Linked DNA regions of Drosophila melanogaster. The protein of the gene in region 3 interacts with the protein of the main gene of each other region in a pairwise test. Each region holds a gene or a part of one and is shown on either strand. Other genes may lie near its edges. The genes, in order: Coa7, CG5246 and Amacr.

The links.
Region 1: the proteins of Amacr (region 3) and Coa7 interact in a two-hybrid assay, tested with the Drosophila melanogaster proteins (one large-scale study listed by BioGRID).
Region 2: the proteins of Amacr (region 3) and CG5246 interact in a two-hybrid assay, tested with the Drosophila melanogaster proteins (one large-scale study listed by BioGRID).

Annotation. Positions count from the first base shown.
Region 1 is NC_004354.4:23,011,892-23,017,148, reverse strand, and holds Coa7 (cytochrome c oxidase assembly factor 7), read right to left. Parts: upstream 3,655-5,257; 5' UTR 3,568-3,654; coding exon 3,468-3,567; intron 3,331-3,467; coding exon 3,041-3,330; coding exon of another isoform or gene 2,990-3,040; exon of another isoform or gene 2,883-2,989; intron 2,697-2,882; coding exon 2,286-2,696; 3' UTR 563-2,285; downstream 1-562. Other genes in the region: Rab21, read left to right, coding at 4,043-4,106, 4,168-4,772. UniProt on the Drosophila melanogaster protein: Required for locomotion. Probably involved in the regulation of formation/maintenance of motor neurons at presynaptic terminals at the neuromuscular junction.
Region 2 is NT_033777.3:17,134,293-17,137,767, reverse strand, and holds CG5246 (uncharacterized protein), read right to left. Parts: upstream 1,658-3,475; 5' UTR 1,564-1,657; coding exon 745-1,563; 3' UTR 573-744; downstream 1-572. Other genes in the region: CG31267 (uncharacterized protein), read right to left, coding at 2,555-3,182, 3,349-3,475.
Region 3 is NT_033779.5:20,750,318-20,754,042, reverse strand, and holds Amacr (Alpha-methylacyl-CoA racemase), read left to right. Parts: upstream 1-1,701; 5' UTR 1,702-1,846; coding exon 1,847-1,954; intron 1,955-2,027; coding exon 2,028-3,041; 3' UTR 3,042-3,109; downstream 3,110-3,725. Other genes in the region: Ns4 (nucleostemin 4), read right to left, coding at 1-869, 934-1,262, 1,353-1,431.

The DNA.
Region 1 (5,257 bases), on a different chromosome or scaffold from region 3:
AAATTTCTTTTTTCGACGGTACAATGCTTTCCGCGACCCATAACTAGAGAATTTTTGGACTTCGTTTGGAAAAAAATCAATAAAAACCTTTAATACAACTCATTTTTTCAAAATTTGTCGAAAAAAAACCCAAAGCAATCACTCCTATTAATTTTATTCAGTAAATACGTGGTCAGTGCTATTTTTGTTACCGCCTCATTTCGCGCACTTTAGCAGCAAGTGCCCAAAAACAAAAAGAACCGTTACATTGAGAGACTAAAAATTTCTTGTTCAGAGAGCCAACATATGGTACTTATTATTCATGCAAACTTACTTTAAAAAATATAAACATTTAATAATTTTTTTTAGGAAATGAACTTTCCACCTGCAGTAGTGCTATTATTTTAACCGCAGCTGTATGTGAATGCAAATATGTACATACATACATATGAAAGAATATTGTGAGATAGAGCGGGAAGGAGCTATTATCATTTATTGTAACTAAACAGCAACTAATTGGACAAGAGAGTTTTTAATAAAGCGTCTATTTCTTGAAATGACAGTAGGTCAAGCTGACAATGAACACAGAGAAAGTGTTGCACAAACAGACTGTATATAGATACAGTCCGTTCAGAACCATTTACATGCATACTTAAATTCCTTACAACAAGATTACACAATTATCATATTAATTTTTTAATGATTCGTATGAATATTTTACAATTTGATAATATTTGTAAGAATTTGTAAAGTTCTATCATAATGGCACTAAAAGGCCTTCGTACCAGGGATATTTTAGTACTTGCACACAGTTTGAGTCTGTGAGGTCCCATAAAGTTCATCACAGCCACATTTTTGCGAAGTGTTGCCTATTCCTTTGGCGGGGACGCCTGTGTCAATACTTTTGTTACAATTTTTTTTAATATGCTTAAAATATTATTGTTTTCCGTTAACAAAATCTTGCCCATTTCTCGAAAACAAATCATGACAATTACATTTAACCAATGTTTCTTTAATAGACAAATAATTGGGTATTATTGTACTTATTGTTTTAGAATTTTTGGCTACCAGGAAAAATAAATTTTTACCACCTTGCTAGAAGCTGTTTTTGTTTAACATAAAAATTTTAAAAAAGGCATTTAAGGTGTTTGATTGGTTGGTAGTAATACCAGAATACCTCATACTTTGAGCAGTAATGGTTCTAAAAGGAAATAGCTATTGTTATGCTTAAATAGTTTATGGCCTCTGACATTAACCGAACGCTACAAACCGTTTTGGTATAGTATCCCAATGAAATTTGAAAAGAAAATCGAATATTTTATACACATATTTTAATAAATTGTTTGAAGAACATTTGTTTTAAACTTTAACTTAAGTTACCTTAATAATTTGAAATTCGGATTTCTCGTGCGACTATTACCATGGCAGCTATGTATATGATAAGTAGACCAATTTTCATTTAGGTCCAGCCAAAAGCAGATATAGCAATTTCGATCCAGTTCCAGCCGAAATTTAATATACTGTATAAACCAAAAATAACTTTTTGATCAAAAACCCCGAAGGTTTCGACTATTTCTCTCAGCTACATATCTACATATATGATTCCATTCCGACTTATATTCTAGCTGCAAATTTAAAATATTTTGGGAATGTTTTATAAAGACATCTTTACGCCTGAAAGACTTGTATGTGTAGAAACGCAATAGTTTTTTAGACTTGTGGACGAAGCAGAATCACATTATTTTTCCTTTTACATTCTTTAGAACGAATGTAGTGCACATCTTCATGAGAAGGTATTCGAGGAAAGGACATGCAGATATTACAAGACGATTAATTACGTTATAATGTGCTAGATTTAAAAAAAAAATGAGGCTGTCGGATTAGCAGGCGATTCTGATCAGAAAAATGTACTGGTTCTTACATTAATATTAGAACAACAGTTTGTGCACAAGCAACCGTAACTAAAACACAATTAACTGAAGATTTTTGTCTACTTTTTTGGTAAGACTTGTTTGTATATTCATATAAGGTATCAACAAAATTTTTAAAGGGTTCATCATCACTTAATAACTTTAACAATTAAATCTAGGAATTTCCATTGTTACTTATTTTCTCTTTCTCGCTCTTTCGCATGCAAGTGCCAGCTATGTACACAGAAATCTCAAACACAAGTTAGTTAGCTTAACTACCAAAATTAGACTGACTGAAAATTACTGAAAAGGGCTAGAAGGTAAAGAAAAACCTGACCTGACCTGAAGCAAGGTCTAAAAACAGTAGCAGCAGATAATATCAGGAATCAAGCATTATCAATTAGGCATGCCCACGCCCTGCTGGAACCCTAACGTATCATGCTGCTTCTTCACCTCGTCCTGCATTTCTAGGGCCAGCTTCTTGTACTTCTCCGCTTCCTTTTCGTTCTTCTCGATCCCATCGCCCCGGGCGTACATCTGGCTAAGATTGGCACACGCATACATATTGCGAAGCTCGCAAGCCTTGTGGGCAAACTGGAAAGCCTTCTTCATGTCTTTTAGAACAATATAGTCGGAGTCCTTTAAAGGCGGTTGTCCGGCGGGGGGTGATGATGTACCACTTCCGGAGGATGCAGTGACAGCACTCTGATCCGCCTTCTTTTGCACGCCCGAGATGTGCATCCCGGAGAGATAAAAGCAGGCAGTGGCGTTGTTCAAGTCGCAGCTTTTGGTCAGAAACTCCAGGCCCTGCGGGTGTTGTAAAATTATAATGTCAAATCACAAAATCAAATAAAATTTAAACACTTTTCTGCTGGGGTCATATTGAACAGTTTTAAATTGGATCAAACTAAACTATATTCATACATATGTCTATACATCCATTGGAACATAATCAGAAAATTACAATTAAACGTTCAATTATCTGGACACGATACGAATGACTTATGATTTCAAGGATCAAATGAGAAACAGGTGGGGCAAATGAGAGAATGTACTGCAGCACATAGTTGCACTTTAAGCAAATTGAACAGTTCCAAGAGCTAGCCTTTTATTGAAGGCTTGGGACCGTGATCGCCATACGACACCTTTACCTTGGGCACATTCCAGTCGATCTCCCTAGGCATGGACTTTGAAACGAGCAGCAGGCCGGAGTGAAGACAGGCGTCCGAGTCGTTTAAGTTACAGCCCTTCTCGTAGTACTCGTAGGCCACTTGTGGATTCCCCTTGCTACCGCTCTTGCCTTTTCCAAGGAAACTGTAGTTGCCGTATTTGTAGCAGGACTTTGCGTAACCATAGTCGTCGCAAGTCGACTTGTACACCTTGGAGGCCTTTTCAAAGTCTTTCTTGATGCCCTCCAAGTAGTCGCCCAGCAAGTGGCACGCTGCAATGCAGAACGCCAGTTAGCTATCTCATAAATGCAATGTCTTCAAGCCCCGCGAATTGTCCTCCCGCACATCGGAGGTTATAGACCTCAATTGTTTTTGCCGCCGTCGCTATCGCTGCCGCCGCCGCACTCACCTTCCGGCTTCTTCTCGGAATAGCACCCGAATCGATATTCCACGCCCAGCTTTTCTACGTACTCCTTCACGTCTGACTCCTTCTTCAAGTCATAGGCCATGGTCAGCAATTTTTAATAGATAACAACCAAAAATTATTATGTTATGCTTCGTCCGGACCCCTGCGTGCTTCAGTGTTAGTAACGTGCAAAATATCGATTCATCGACACCATACTGCATACATTCGATGGTTTTATTGATATCGATGTTAGGCTATGCATCGATATTTTGCTCATAATTAAAACATGGTTTAATTTAAAATCGCTTAATTGTATTTTCTATCTTTCATGTATGACTGCGGCGACATTGAGTTCTCGGCCTTGCTTGAGGCCGCAGTGTGGCCAGATACGTATGTGACTTCTCGCTTATTCAACATTTATCGCCGAGTGCCATTACAATAGTGCTGGTAGACAGCCACACTGGCGGTCTCGTAAAAACCTAATCTTTTCGATTACCTCTTGTTTTTTTTTTGTTTTTCCGTGTCCTCTGAAAACTGATGCGTATCAAGGTAGGACACCTAGCTATTGGGAAACCACAATGAGCTCGAGCAGAACGAGGAACGGCCCCACGCTTAATTTCAAGGCGGTGCTGCTGGGCGAAGGTACGTTTAGCAGCTAAACAAACCTAATTAGTTCCTGAAAGCTTTAACCCCTTAATTGTAGGTTGTGTGGGCAAGACGTCGCTGGTGCTGCGCTACATGGAAGACCGGTTCAATGCCCAGCACCTAAGCACCCTGCAGGCTTCCTTTGTCAGCCGCAAGATGTCCCTGGAGGATGGGAGAAGGGCGCAGTTGAATATTTGGGACACGGCTGGTCAGGAGCGGTTCCACGCCCTGGGACCCATCTACTATCGCGGCTCCGATGGCGCCCTGCTCGTCTATGACATAACGGACCGAGACTCGTTCCAGAAGGTCAAATCCTGGGTGCGGGAGCTCCGGCAAATGCGCGGCACGGAGATTGCCTTAATAATCGTCGGCAACAAGACTGATTTGGAGGAACAGCGAGCAGTAACGCACGATGAGGCCCTTCAATATGCGCGCACGGTTGGCGCTCAATATGTAGAAACTTCGGCCAAGGAGAACGAGGGGGTGGCTGAGCTCTTCGAGCTCCTGACCCAGCTGATGCTGGAGCAGTTGAGCCAACGGCAACCGGATGCGAGTCCACTTCGCCTCCAGAATCCGGATACGGATAACCTTAACAACTCCGATGACTCGGAGGCCCCGGATCCCGGAGATCCTGCGGGCCAGCGGTCCTGTTGCGGCATTTAGCCGTTCCCATTGTGATAGTAATCATAACTATAAAATAGTAGACCTTTAACCGATGTTGATCTTGTGTATATATTATACATAGATAGATATAAATATAAATACGCGTATTTTTATTATTCCCTATTATGGATCTTTAAAATCCTCACACATTTTTGTTTATTAATAAATATAAATATGTATTTCATTCGATTTTCTTGCCCTTCCTGAGCGCCCAGTAATAAACAATCTTGTACTTGCACTTATCTTGTTTTGAGGCTTTTTGGGGGCCGGGCTGAATCATCGTTATCAGTTGAGGTGCTAATGGCTCTGCAAGGCGATAGGTGATTAATTTTAAACCGCACCAAGATTACAGTTTACGGCACTTTAAATATATGGTGCAATAGAAGACAATACATAAAGTTTTTATATATTTTTTCATAATTTTATGTAACGATCATATCATCGCAACAGCTTCTCCTATTAATGAAATTAATTGAAATCCAATT
Region 2 (3,475 bases), on a different chromosome or scaffold from region 3:
CTTCATTCTAGGCAACCAACCACCACTCAGCACAAATAAGGTTGTTCTGATAACTACGATTCACTCTAAATTTACATAACAGGAACTTGAAACAAGGCGATAATTAAACTGTTTATTTAACTACATTAAAAGCCTATCCAATAAACAAATATATGTACTATCTAGGTCACAACTAAGTGACATTATCCCTCCACAAAATTTTTGGTGTTTTGACATATGAGAAAACATTAAAGAAATTCTTTAAAAATTTGAATCGACTTATAATCAAAGTAGTCTTTCAATCAGTTCTATTTAATTATCTTATAATTTGAGAACCTGCTGGAAAACTACTTAGGTATTGTTTATTTCCATAGTCAATCATACTCGAGTCTAATCTCTACATTAAGTAATGCCACAGGTGATAGTCAATACTTTCTGATATCCCACTTCTTTCTAACTGGCGCTTGTTTGTTTGTTGACTCAGTTCTCAGAACTGAATATAATGATGGATCATACGAATGACTGGGCTTTGGAGAAGTGCTAAAATTGAACACCCGCCTTAAAGAACATGACATACGAAAAAGTTTTTATTTAAACTGAAGCGCAATTGTTCATTTATTCGTTCATAAATATTTTATGATATCTTTGATATCTAAGTAATAAAATTTACAGTCTAATTTGATCAATTTGCAGAAGCCATTAGATGGCAGCTGCTATTTTTGTTCGGTTTTGGCTTTTGTACCCCCACGGGTGACTTTTGGACCTTTAGCACGCGGTACCAGCGTCTGTCATCATCTGTTCGATCCAATCGTGGTAGTAGGCGACCGAACCGAACACATCCGGATAGCCAATGGCACAGGCCTCGCCCCAGTTGACCACGCCGACGAGGGTTTGGTTGGCATCAACCAAAGGACCGCCGGAGTCTCCATGGCAAGATCCCTCGCCCTCCTGGGTGAAGGTGCACACGTGTCCTTCGCTCAGCCAGTTGGCGTTTCGCACTCGAGACTGGCAGTTGTCGTGATCGATGTAGTTCAGATCGATTTTCTGCAGCTGGGTGGAGTACCTTCCCCAGGTCTTGGTGCTGCCCCATCCCGTCAGCGTTAGCTTATCTCCCACCTTCGGCAGTGATCCCTTGCTGGCCAGTTTAATAGGTTGAGTCAGGTCGTCGTAAACAATGGGCTTAGCCGTGTGGATCAACGCTATGTCATTGTGATAGGCTGGCTTGTCGTGACTGCAATGGATCTTCGATCCATCTACCAGATACTCCGCTCCTGGTCTCGTATAGTCCACTGTGCCGGTGACAATCTTCAGATACTGAATGGGCCACTCCATGCAATGGGCGGCGGTGAGGATCCATTGTGGCGCGATGATACTGCCACCGCAAACATGCTCGCCAAAGGTATTCATGATGGACACCTGGTAGGGAGCAAATCCAGTGGGGGAATCGACACCTCCAATCACACGGGTCTCGGGCTTCACATGGCCCAAATGATGATTTAACTGGTGACGACGATGAATCTTAACGCTTTTCGCCGAACATTGAGACAGGATCACCAAAACACTGATCAGTACTAGACACTTCATTTTGGCTCAAATATCTTGAAATATTTGTTTCAATTAATTGTAATAATTGTAATTTGTAGTGTTGTGTTGTGTTCAACTTCCGTAAGCGGAATGCCCACTTTTTGGCACCAAAATCGCTTTTATAGCGCTGTGCAAAATTTCCTTATCTCTCGAAGAGTTTCTTTTAAATATTTTTTGCGATAAGCGTCTCAGTTCGGGGGAAGCTTCGATAATGACAATTTCCATAGCCCGTATATAGTAACCTGATAGGGGGAATTCTATAGCCATTTGGACTGAGAGTGATAGACAACTAGCACACGACCGTAATAATATTACTCATACGCAACGGGGGCGGACTTTGTGCTAACTCGAGTTGTGCTAGGCAGATCTTCAGACGTCGTCGGTTGATAGGGTCGTAATCGGATGGAAGTTTACTTGAAATTCACCTGGAATAATAGCGAAATGATTGAAGGCCCATTGAAGATACTGAAGTCGGCATACCCTTAGGGTAGGCAAGTTAAAGGAATAGATAGGACAATCTTCAACAAATATTAAAGGATTTATAAAAATAAATTAGATAACTTCGATATGGAAACCTACTTACTTATTACTTATTTTGTTTTTTATCAAACACTAAAAAAGTATATATTGTATAGACATAGTTCTGTGTGTCATGGTTTGGTAGTGTATTATATTGTTTCTGAAAAACCAGTTCATTTTTATGGCTTCAATGAAATTTTGACGTTTTACTTATCACCCGCAATTACAACAATTGGCAGACGTCTGGACGAGGGATTATCAAGATTTCAAGTTAATCAATTGTTTCACATACTGGATTTTGGACTTTGACATAATTTAGGAGACAATGTATCTTTTGGAACATCCGTAATAAACTAGGTAATATAAAAATGTTCGTCTGGCGATATTGAAAATGCGTACCACAATTTTTACAGTATTTTATTGAATAAAGTTATTTTTCCAGGATAAAAGTAATTGATACGAATTTTTGCACTTAGGAAATAGCACATCCGTTAATCGTTGATATAATCCAGCTGTAGTAAAAGCTAATGCGGGCAAAAACATCGGGAAATCCATAGCCGCACGGAACGCCCCAGTTACCAACGCCCACCAAGCGACCACGACTGTCAACGATGGGTCCTCCGGTATCTCCATGACATGCTCCGGCTCCCACCTTTCCCACGGCACAAAGGTGACCCACATCCAGATCTGGAGTACCGCCGTACGTGGCATTGCACTTTTCCGGCGCGACATAGGTTACATCCAACTGCTGCAGCTGCCATGAGAAATCTCCTCCGATCTCCGTGCTGCCGTATCCGTACATGGTTAGCGTTTCACCATCGGTCAAATCCTCCAACGGAGCGATTGTGATATTCTGAGTGACATCATCGTAATCGAATAGTGCATGCGTCTTGATCAGGGCAATGTCATTATGGTACATGGGGCTGTCGAAGTTGCAGTGCATGACGATATCCTCCACGGAGTATATCCAGCCCTCCGATCCCCAGTGATTATAGGTGGTGGTCACCACCTGCACGTTGTTCTTTCGCAATCCAGCCAGGCAACTAGCCGCGGTGATGACCCACTGATCGTGGATAATGGAGCCGGCACAAAAGTGGTTACTTAAAAGAGTTGCATAATTCACTATTTAGACTTCAAAATAAAATGTTACTTAAGACACTAAAAAAATATATTGCTTAAAAAAATAGTATAATTTCTGTGGTAATACGTTAGTAATTGTTACCAATAGGGAAACTAGGATAACATAAATAAGGATAAGTTAATTACCCATAGGCGTTTTGGAGCGAGACTAGATAGGGTGCCGCCAGGACATCGGATTCTTCTCCTCCGACGATTCGGGAGCTAAATTTATTCGCGGTTTCGGATTTTTCTGAAGTGAAGGCCCGACGGCGTA
Region 3 (3,725 bases):
GGTAGATTCAGATGTTCGCCGAGAAACTTCAGGGAGCGGTATGGAACAGCCAGTTGCGATATGGGGAAACTGCCCAGCAGCACTTGCAGGCTTTTGGGAGTACTCGAGGGAAAGACTAGACCGGGACAATCACAGAGGCGAACAAGTGGGGTGAGGAAAATTGTCTGAAAGTGCTTCGTATGTCCGGGCGTGCGACTAACGCTGACCACCTTGCGTCCCTTTAAGGCATTGATCAGCGACGACTTTCCGACATTGGGAAATCCAATGCAGCCAATGGTCAGGACCCCACTGTGATATTTAACGTGCTCGTGGGGCGTGGTGTCGATGCTGCTGCTGATCTTGAGTTCACCCTCCACGGCCGTTGATATTTCATCCAGGATGTCAAGCTGATCACTACGCATGTCCTCTCGTATCTTCTGCTCCCAGGTTGTTAGATCCACCTCTCCTTGGACATAGCGCTGGCATTCCTTGTAGATATTATACACTCCTTCCATACTCCTGCGATGAGCCTGTGGACCACGTTGACTTCCTTTGCGGGATCGGGGGAGGAAGGATGCAAAGAGCACCACTGGTAGCTGGGGGTAACGGTCGCGGAAGTATTGCCTCCAAGCCACCACCGCATGCGGTTCGACTAGATCCACCTTGTTGAACACCACTATCGCATGTTTCTTTAGCGTGTTGATAATATAGTCGTACAGGGAGGGTGGAAACATCAGCGTGGCATAGCGCACGTCCACAATGATCAGCAGGATGTCCGAGAACTCCAGGACACGCCATAGCTGACGCCAGGTTTCCAGATTCAGCTCAAACAGCGAAAGCTCCTTCGAATCTCCAGCACGCTGCTTTTTCTGCAGCTCGTCCACGTATTCCTGACAAAAGATTATTAATGGATATGTTAATATTATAAACCAAGCCGCCAGTAGACTGACCTACCTTAAAGTAGCGATTCTCGGTGCGATCAAGCTCTTCCTTGGACTCCGTTAGCGTCCAAGGTGGACGAACTGGGAAGTCGCAGCCGGCAAAGTATCGGTCGTCCACTTCCCGCTGAGCGGGACTGAGTTTCTCGAACGGTTTAAAGCCCTCTTGTTTCATTTGCTCCAGTTCCTTTTTGCCCTCCTGGTAGAATTGCAAATTATAGCGATTGACGTTCTTGTTTCGGTTTCCGCCGCGCGCAAAAGGCTGCTCCATGAGTTTCCTGGTCGTTTCCGGCACATCGCTGTCCTCATACGACTCCTGCGTGCTCCTCAGATACTTTGGGGGACCTGCCGGCGTAACAATTGTTAGTCATCCGCTTCGATTTTCCAGCCTTACGCCCCTTTTCACAGGTGGGCACACAATCTCGGTTTTCTCACCTTTTGTGTTGCGCTTTTGCAACATCTGGTCCTTCTTCTTCTTGCCGCTAAAGGCCACCTTGCGCCGTTGCTGTGGCATCGTTTTTGGGTCACGTCCTGGTCTCACTCCCGGTCAATTTGGTTTCGTCCAGCAGCGGTGGCCAACTGTTAGTTGTAGTTAATTGGGATTGAATGTTGTTGCGGCTTTTCCCTTTTGCGAATTAAAAGTTTCACACCAGTTGGCAGCACCGAGAGCACCGGGTTGTCGAGCTCGACAGTTAAGTCACGAAAATAAATAAAACTTTCACTGGTACATTTCTTGTTATCAAGATTAATTTTTATCAAAAACAAAAAAAATACATGCAGAGACAGGAGGTGCAGGTTAAAGTTATTTCATTCGACTCCTTGTCTCGTGAGATTAGAAAAAATCACCTACAAGTTGGCATCTCTGCTGCAATGCCGTTCAAAGTGCACTTAATTTTCTTGTTACTTTTCGCATCAAAACTCCTCCAAAGATGCCACTTAAAGGCATCAGGGTACTCGAATTCGTGGGTTTAGCACCAGGACCGTTTTGTGGGAAGATTCTAACCGACTTTGGGGCCACAGTCACCCGCATCGACAAGGTAAACAAACTGGGCGTTAAATTCAATACAACTCCGATCGCCGAATTTGAATCCATGTTCCCATCTCGTTCAGGTGATGGAAAACCCTTTGGATGTACTGCAGCAGGGAAAGCGCACACTTTGCCTGGATCTGAAGAACCCGAAAGGTCAGCAAGCGGTGCAAAGGCTGGTCAAGAAGTGCGATGTGCTCATCGAACCTTTTCGACCGGGAGTAATGGAGAAACTAAATCTGGGTCCCACCGACTTGTGCACAGCCAATCCCCGCCTGATTTATGCCCGCCTCACCGGCTTTGGCCAGCATGGAAGACTGGCGCAACGGGCGGGACACGACATCAACTACGCGGCCTTATCGGGAGTACTTTCCATGCTGGGCAGGCGCCACGAAAAGGTCACTGCACCCATTAATATTCTGGCCGATTTCGCTGGCGGCAGTTTGATGTGCGCTCTGGGAATTTGCCTTGCCCTCTTGGAGCGCCACAGGTCGGGAAAAGGCCAAGTAGTGGATGCCTCGATGGTCGAGGGAGCTGCCTATGTGGCCAGTTGGCTGTTTATGTCCAGGAATCTGGTTATTTGGGGGAGGGAGCGCGGTGACAACCTCGTCGATGGTGGATCATTCTTTTACGACACGTACGAAACCAAAGACGGTCGCTACATGTCCGTGGGCGCCCTGGAACCGCAGTTCTTTGAGATGCTAAAACAGCGCTTGGAACTGCCCGAAGATGTCAGTCAGTTTGGCGAGGAGCATCAGGTTCGAGGAAGAAAGCTTTTGACTGAGGCTTTCCTCTCCAAGACCCAAGCTGAATGGTCGCAAATATTTGAGGATGTCGACGCCTGTGTCTATCCCGTTCTGGATTACCGCGAGGTTCACAGACACGATCACAATATACAGAGGAATTCGTTCGAGGTGACTGAGGATACAGCGACGCCACGTCCTGCTCCAGTCCTAAGCAGAACTCCGGGAAAGTTGCCCAAGGCAACTGATGGTGCGCAGGTGGAGTGGATGGACGAACTAGATCTTAAGCCCGACGAGTTTAAAGATTTGCTCGACTCGGGAGTACTTTCCCTTCCAGAGAGGGCCAAGCTGTAAGACGCCAAGATGTGCTGTGCCCCCGCCTGGATTTCATCGGAATAAAACACATTTCTTGTTGCTCTTGCACTCAAAATTCTTTTATTCTCGCTCTTGCACACAGACACAGATTACATTTGCTAAGATTTCGCGTACAAACTATCAGTCATACAATTTGTTTCGGAACAGTTAGGCCGCACATTGATATTCAGAGGGGTTTTCATTTTTTGTAATTGGTAATACAGCATACTAGATAACGTAACATAATTGATTCTCTCCTATCGCAATCGTGATCAAAGGTTCTCTCGCGCATCCCTACTTAATGACTAGGTTAGCATTAACTAGCATACCGAGTAGCACATATACTAAGTTTATTTCCGGCTTAAGCACCGCGCGTCAGCGTCTCCAATCGTCAGTGTATATTTAGGATAATCATATTCGATTAGAATGCTCATATGAACGTTGTGGTGTTATGTAAGTAGGCAATGTGTGGGTGAGGTGTAAATTTCACTAGTTGGCGTTGGCGTTTCGTGTGTAGTATTGTTCTAGTGTCTGTACGTATGTACGTAGAGTCCCGGGTAAAGTAATCCTTGTGAGTCCTTAGGTAAGTAAGTAGGTTGTGTTGTTATTTGTTGTTCGTATGTATATATAGTAAGTCTCAGTTCTCAGTATAAAAATCAGTACCATATGTTACGTTTCTCATTT